Ovis aries: one gene and its partner. The protein of the gene in region 1 interacts with the protein of each later gene in a pairwise test. Links are inferred from orthologs where the notes say so. Each region holds a gene or a part of one and is shown on either strand. Other genes may lie near its edges.

Region 1 (4,544 bases):
TTCCCATGAAGTGATGGGACCAGATGCCAGGATCTTCGTTTTCTGAATGTTGAGCTTTAAGCCAACTTTTTCACTCTCCTCTTTTACTTTCATCAAGAGGCTTTTTAGTTCCTCTCACTTTCTGCCATAAGGGTGGTGTCATCTGCATATCTGAGGTTACTGATATTTCTCCCGACAATCTTGATTCCAGCCTGTGCTTCTTCCAGCCCAGCATTTCTCATGATGTACTCTGCATATAAGTTAAATAAGCAGGGTGACAATATACAGCCTTGATGTACTCCTTTTCCTATTTGGAACCAGTTAATCATTAGGAATATCAGTTATAATGCTAAAGATATAGCTGTGGACGCATAATATGTGGGATGCAGAACCTCAGCTATGGCCCTGAATTAGCCTTTAACAGGGAAGGAAAAACAAAAAAAATACCCACATTTCCCCAGTTAGCACTGACCTCTAGTTAACTCCCGAATCCACTAATACTCACTAAAACATAAAAATCATTCTAAATCACATTCCACACTTCTGCTTTGTGAGTGTTTTGCCCATGCTATAGATATTTCTTTATTTTAAGCATGATTTAACTTTTTTTATTGTTGAGTACTGCCTGCAAAACAGGAGACCCCAGTTCAATTCCTGGGTCAAGAAGATCCCCTGGAGAAGGGAAAGGCAACCCACTCCAGTATTATGGCCTGGAGAATTCCATGGACTGTATAGTCCATGGGGTCGCAAAGAGTCGGACAGGACTGAGCGATTTCACCTTCACAGTTAATCATTAGGAACATCAGTTATAATAATGCTAAAGATATAGTTGTGGACACATAATATGTGGGATGCAGAACCTCAGCTATGGCCCTGAATTAGCCTTTAACAGGGAAGGAAAAACAAAAAAACGCCCACATTTTCCCCCGTTAGCACTGACCTCTAGTTAACTCTCAGCAGCCAATGCATGTTTCCTTCTCCACTCTCCTACTCTGCCCACCCTCTCTCACCCCTGAATTACACAATGCAGAACTTGTAGGATACATTTTTAGCAGTGATACTGTGAAATGTTACCATTTCTGCAGATTACAACAACCTTGGTTTTCTATTGTGACTCTCTTATCTGGACCTACTACTAGCTGACCTCATCACGTCTTCTAATCTCTAGAGACAAATACAGTGCGGTGTAGCTAAGACTCTGGGACGAGGCTGTCAGGGTGCAAACCCTAGTTGGACATTTATAGGTGAAAGTCCCACAAGTCCCTTATCCTCAGTTTCCTCATTCATATAATGAAAATAAACATATCTCTACCCCTGTAAGATTTATGAGAATTAAATGGGCTAATATGTATCAAGTGCATAGAACATGGTCTCACCCACAGTAAGCATTCTATCTTTATTACTGTATTTTTAAATGGATAAAATACCACTCTCTTAACTCTCTCTTAAAACTACTCCAGTATTTCTCATTTTCTGTTGTGGTTGTGTTGGTGGTGGTAATGGTATTCTTTTGTAGGAGAGGGAAATGCAGACATCACCAACTGATCCTCAACTCATCCCACCTGTCAGTGCTTCTTTCCGACAAGGAAGGGAAGGCCCATACAGAGCATCAAGGTTATTCACTGTTCTGTTAGCCAGGCTAAAATAAGCACGGGTGAAGAAAATGGGCTATTTACTCAGCATAACAGAAATATGGGATATGTGTGGCTACTGTTATCAAATATTTGCAGGCTGGGATGGATTAGAGATATTAATAGTATTGAAAATTCTATGGACGAGCTACAGGCCCACACCACTGAGCATGTTTAAGCAGGGCCCTGGTGACCAGATGTCAAGGATGCTGTAAGAGAGAATTTTTTAAAATTCAGAGTCAGATAACATTTAAGATTCCTTCTACCTTGAAAATCTTGGCAATACGAATGTGAATCATCAAGACGTTACAAAGGAGTTGAGTCACACATCCAGCGAGCTCCTTAAGGCACAGAATTCTTCACTGCCCACAGTGCTTGGCACATATCAGACCTAGAGGAATTCTAGCCCCGAGGGTTCGTATAAGTCGGCTCTCAGTAACAAAAACTTCTCTAAAGCTAAGCGCGTCAATTAGCTGATTCCAGACTTCTGTTGTGACCGGTAAATTCAATAAACCATACATCCCAAATGGGATTTGGCAAAAAGATGTGTACCCGGATTAACTATCAGGCGGTCCTCCACTTCACCATTTCGAGGCCGAGCAAAAGCCAATTAAAGTGAGCAGGCAGGTTAAGGGGAAGGGTGGCCCGGGGTAAATGGGCGACTGGGGAGCAGACTTACACACGATCCGGGGAAGGGACAAAGGCCTAGGGGAGAGAGCACGCTGGACTCGGAGGCACGCGCCAGCCAGACCGGCTACAGTCCGTGTTGGGACTGGAGATGCAAAGGTGTGACGGCAGCGAGGAGGGCCCCTGAGGGCCAGCGGAGCCCCCGCGGAGGTCCCCTCCGCTCCCCGGGAGCAGGGCCGGGGGCCGCCGGAGTCGCAGCCCCGGGCGATTCGGGTGCGTAAGCCTGGCGGCGCACCTGCAGCCGGACTCTGGTCCGCACAGGTCTCCCTGCCCCGCAGCCGGATTTCGGATGGTCCAGACTCCCTCCGCCTCAACGAAGGCCAGTCCTCAAGCCCCAGAAAGGCGACCAGACGCCGACGCCGCAGTCCCGGCACGGAATGTGGGGCAGCGGCTGCGTCCGGCCCGGCCCGGCCAGGCCCCCGCCGGGAGCTACCGCCGCCATCGCGGGCCGCGGCGAGGGGGGTGAGACCAGGGGCCGCGCGCGCCGCTTTACCTGAGAAACCAGCGGCAGCAGCGTCTGCTCCACCGAGCGAGTTTTGATCTCGAGTCCGGAGTCGAAGGCGAAGCCCGACGGGCCGGAGCCGTGCGCTGCCCCGGCGCCGCCACCGCCTGCGGGGCCCAGAGAGGCGGCCATGGCCTTTATTCAGCCCGTCGCGCAGCCGGGACGCCGCGCCGCTGCGGGCCCGCCGCCTCCCGCCAGCCAGCCGGCCCGCCCGCCCGCGGCAGCTGCAAGGCACCCGCGCCGCCCGAGACCCCGCCCCCGGAAGACCCCGCCCCCCCGCCTCCACGCGCTCCGGCCTGGGGTCCGCCTTGCAGCCCCGCCCCCCAGCCCGGGCCCCGCCCCTCCTGCCCCCATTCCCGCCCATCTTGTTTCTTTTATCATTCTTCAGTGGCTTTCGCACAAGTCTCGCTCCTGCCAAAAAGGGCCTTCCCATGAACATGTGGCCTCTTACCAGACCAAGGACATCCATGCTCAGGGAAGCTACCTGCCCTCCTCCGGAGAAGTGACTCTTCCTAAATCCGAATTCCCCAAGATTCCTGGAAACTGCGCTGTGATTGAAACTATTAATAATGGGTAGACTAGGACAGGAGTCAAGCCTGTAGGGACGGGCTTCTACCCTAAGATAGGCCTTCTACAGGTTACAGTCTTTCTGGAGCTTTCACAGACACATCTCCCCTGGTGTAAACTGCCCATGTTCCATAAAAATTCATTGTGCGCACTGGTGTCAAAGGCAAGGCAAGATACAAGACATAAGAGATGGACAGATGTATTCATTAAAGTTTGACTTCACTGAAGATAGAATTTCTCAACAGAGACTAAGTTTACCACTTGATTCATTCAACACTAGTAATTTTATTTTAAAATATAAATATTCTTACATTTACAAAGATGTTACATCAGTAGGTTGTCAAAGCAAGTTAAAGCTAAGAAACAGCATTTGTGAGGATAAAGACACATGGTTATATCTGAATAATCTTTTTTACTTTCAAACCATCTCTACTTTGCCTGAGAATGCAGAGATGATACATTTGCCACAAGTTACATGAGCAATAACAACTATATAGCGAATCTTGGCTTCAAAATCAAATGGTATTTGAAATACACTCCAATCACCTAGACAAGTGGCACTGCAAAGCACAAAAGACGGGTTTTCTTTGGAATAATTACAATTGGAGTTACATTGTCTGGGTCACTGCCATTAAAAACAGTATTTGATAATAAGCCAAAACAATGTTTTAAAATTTGTTACCACAGCTTTCAGAGTAATATATAAAGCTAGAATAAAAAGAAAGAAACCAGGTGTGGAGTACAGAACTCTGGATTTGGAGTCAGAATTTCTGCAACTGAACTCTGGCTCCATCATTTTGTGGTATAAATTTAAGGGAAAGATCACAAAAAACCTTTCTGAGCTTTGATCTGATAATACTTGATGCCTGCCTATCTCACAGGGTTGTTACGAAAGCAGTCTGAAACCTATAAAGTGCAATACAAAAGCATTATTAAAATGTCATATCAATATATCACCACTGCATCTGCACTCTAACTGATCTTTGAAAAACTTTCAAAAGTAAAACACAAATACTGACTTTATACACCATAGGCGGAAAAGAATCTCTATACTTGATGTATAGCTCTGAATGGCAAATACGGTTTTTTTCTGGTATTTCACTAAACTTTGTGATATATTACAGTTTACATGGCAGATGTGCCTGCCATTCAGAATTCTATTACGGATGTCTTCCAAA
Region 2 (3,814 bases), on another chromosome or scaffold:
CACTGTGCCAGGCCTGGGAAAACAAAAATGAACAAAAGAACAAAAGTCATCAAGGTCTCTGCCCCCCTAGAGCTTAGAGTCCAGTGCTTAGGAACAGGAATGAAAGACAATAAATTATGGTGTCAATCACTATCAAGTCACAAGTCTGACAACTGCTGCAAAAGAAAGGGACATGGAATCACACACATGAGAGCCTCTAGTAAGGGAACTTGACTTGTTCAAGGAAATCAGTGAAGGCTTCTTCAAGGAAGTGATAATCTAGTCGAGGTCTGAAGGATGAGCAGGCATGACCTACATGACAGGGGAAAAGAAGAACATTTCATGGTATGGGCCCCGTGATGAGAAGCAGTGTGACTCTATAGAGGGAACAGAATGGAGTGATTAGGAGGCTTTGGTAGAAATCCAGATCAGAGATGGTCATAGGATTGGATTAGAGATGTTTTTAAGAAGCTCCAGAATAGTAAATAGGTTCAAGAGATGTTTAGGCAGGTGATGGAGGAGGGCAACATGATCCTCAGCTTTCTGACTTGGGCATTTGGAATGGTTACAGGGTCAGCTGCTCAGACGGGGTACCTAGAGGAGAGACAGCTCAGGATGGATTAAGTGTGATGTGCCTCTGAGATGCCAAGAGGAAAAGACGAGAAGGAAGACACCAGATCAGAGGAGGGTCCAGACTGAAGCTACGTTTGTACCCAGGGTGGGTAATGAAAGCCACAGGTGTGGACAGGGCCATCTGAGGGAAAGAGACAGTGACCTACAACTCAGCCTTGAGGAATCCCAGCATTTCACTGCTTAGCAGAGGAGAGTGAACCTGCCAAACAGACGGAAAAGAGCAGCCAGAGAGACATGGGGGAAAACTGGAAGACTCGCATCTCAGAGCTAAGGGGAAAGAAAGCTTCAAGAATGAAGTTGTGAGAAGCAGCAGACTCACTGATATACAGAAAACAAATCTGTGGTTAGCAATAGCTAGTGGGAGGTTGCTGTATATCACCGGGAGCTCAGCTGGGTGCTCTCTAATGACCTAGAGGGGTGGGATGGGAGGAGGATGGGAGGGAGGCTCAAGAGAGAGGGGGGAGTATATATATTCGCGTAGCTGATTCACTGTGTTGCACAGCAGAAACAAATACAACTCTGTGAAGCAACTGTACTCCAAAAATAAAATTTTTTTTAAAAAGAAAAAAGGGGGAAGAAAAAGATGTTTTATCTCCGGTCATAGCAGAACAGGTTTCAAAAACAGATTTTCTTTTAAATATATTCAGCTATTACACAGTGTTTTGTAAATATATATATTAAATATATATAAATATTAAAAACCAAACAAATCAGTGGGGAGAGAGGGGAAGAGAGGCAACACGGGGGCAGGGGAGTGAGCGGTAAAAACTACTGGGTGTGAGACAGGCTACGAGGATGTGTTGTGCAACACTGGGAACATAGCCGATATTTTGTAACAACTGTAAACGAAGTGTAACTTTTAAAAATCATACAGAATTTTTTAAAAATTAAAAAAAAAAAAAGAATGATGCTGTGGTCAACTATGTCATAGGTGGCTGAAAGGCCAATGAGAATAAAAGCTGGAAGGTCTGGAGGATTTGTATAGAGGTCACTGGTGATCTTCGGGGAGTAAGCTGGTTATGTGGAGTGGTAAGGATGGATGCCTTCACACCTCACCTCAAACATTCCAAACTCCCAATTATCTGTGTTGGGTAGTGAAGAGCAAGGTGAAAGATTGGGATTTAGCGCATCCTTCAAGGGCAAACATATTCATCTTGCTTCCCAGCGGTTCCAGGGAGTTGTCCCTAGCCCCACCCCCTGGCACATCCTTTCTTCTCCCAGATGAGCCTACCATAGCCAGAATGCTCACTTCTTTATCTGGTTCAGATTCTGGGAGGTGTCTCGGACTCTGAAGGTTCCTGACAATATCTATAAGCCGTTCCACCAGCTTTGCCAGCTCCCGGTCAACTTCTGTGACGCTCCTCGGTGCCTCCACCTTTAAAAGAGCAAAGCAGAACACAAAGCTGGACCCGGGAACCAGCTCTAGACAGAGGGAGCCGTAAACACTGGATAAAGGAAGTGGGCAAGGAAGTGACAAAAATGTCTAGAGGAAAAGGAGGTAAAGTCCTCGGACTTTCCGCATTCCCACCTCCCCCTGCTGGTTGTTCACAGGGAAGCAGCGTTCATCCATCAGATGGGGCCAGGGGGGTGGGAGTGAGGCATGAAGGAAAGACTGGGGTTATTTTGAACTGGGGAAGTCAGAGGGGAAGCAGGGTGGGAGCCTGGAGATTTGGTGCAGGTGGCAGCTGGTACGTTGAGTGGAAGGCATTTAGCTCAGGCTTTAGCTCCACTCTCACCTCTGACTCATCCTGCGTCTTCACCACTCCTTTCAAAAATTAAAGCGACCACCCCTAGTTCCTTTTAACAGTGAAAAGCATCTACTATGAAAGGATCGTGGAGATTCTAGATTGCTGTACAGATGCAAGCTCTTTTTGTTTATCGGCGTCCTTCACATTTAAAGAAACATTCAGATGAGAATGCTAAACAACTCCGCTTCCAGAGCTTCATCTGCGCAGCTGCCTGGCTGAGAGTGGGAGGAAGTTTGGCCACCAACATATTCTGGCAACAACCTCAAGACCTGGTGACCATCATCAGAGGCAGGCGGGGCCCAGAAGTCATTGGAGAAATCTGAACTACCTCCCAAAGTGGTCCTACATAGAACCACAGAAATACAAGATTTTCATTATTCTACTCTAAATAAACCACAGTTTTTAATAACTTTGGGGGGACAGCTCTCACTTTTTAAATTATGCTGGAACCTCAAAAACTGGAACTAATTTTTCATCTCTAAGAAGCACTTATGTCCCTCAAAATAGCATGTGTTTCAGAAGCCATATGCAGACTAATTTTCAGAGGAAGGTGGCTGACCACTGGTAACATTGTTTGCTCTTGTATATCCAGGTCTCACTCCTAAACATTCTGGCAGCTGGAATTCTGGAGTGGAGCCCTTATCTAGACACCTGAGCAAATTAAAAACTTTTATAAATAAGTGTTGGTGCTTTTTCTATCCATAAAACTGCACATTTATCATGATGAATGTAGAAAATGCACAGAGTTGAAAGAAGAAACATTTTAAATCATCCAATATCCTACCATCCACAGACAATTGTAATCTGAAAGCCAATGCAAAGTATATTCAGTCACTATACTAACAAATAGTTTTAAGGACCTGAGGGATAATGCTGAATTTATTCATCTGTGGCCACACTGCTCAGCTTGTAGGGTCTCAGTCCCCTGACCAGGGATAAAACCTGGGCCACAGCAGTGAAAGCGCTGAATCCTAACCACTAGACCACCAGGGAACTTCCAATGCTGTGTTTATAACCAAAAAGAAGAAAACAGCTTTAATTATAAGGGGGGGAGGGGAGGAAGCAACCAATATGTCCATTAAAAGGTGAATAGACAAACTGTGGGACATGTATGCAATGGAATATTATTTGGCAATAAAAAGAAATGAGCAGTCAAGCCACAAATCTTAATTATGTTTAGTGAAAGAAACTAGTCTGAGAAAGCTAGACACTGTATGATGCCAATGGTATGACATTCTGGAAAAGCCAAAGAGATAGCAAAAAAAATCAGTCATTGCCAGGGGTTGGCAGGGGGTGAGGGGATACACAAAGGTGGGGCTCAGGGGGTTTTGAAGGCAGTACAACTATAACTGCAGATACCTGACTTCGTGCATTTGTCAAAACGCATAGAATGGTACAACACAGAGCGAACTGCAACTATGGATTTTAGTAAATGACAATGTATCAATATTGGT

Evidence for each region.
Region 2: the proteins of CTNNAL1 (region 1) and RNF135 interact in binary tests that used the Homo sapiens proteins (3 or more experiments, as listed by UniProt). The two-hybrid records come from large-scale screens. The link is inferred for Ovis aries from reciprocal best matches to the Homo sapiens genes CTNNAL1 and RNF135.

Annotation. Positions count from the first base shown.
Region 1 is NC_056055.1:14,277,566-14,282,109, reverse strand, and holds the start of CTNNAL1 (alpha-catulin), read right to left. Parts: upstream 3,004-4,544; 5' UTR 2,932-3,003; coding exon 2,791-2,931; intron 1-2,790. UniProt on the Homo sapiens protein: May modulate the Rho pathway signaling by providing a scaffold for the Lbc Rho guanine nucleotide exchange factor (ARHGEF1).
Region 2 is NC_056064.1:17,747,264-17,751,077, forward strand, and holds part of RNF135 (E3 ubiquitin-protein ligase RNF135), read right to left. Parts: intron 1,988-3,814; coding exon 1,844-1,987; intron 1-1,843.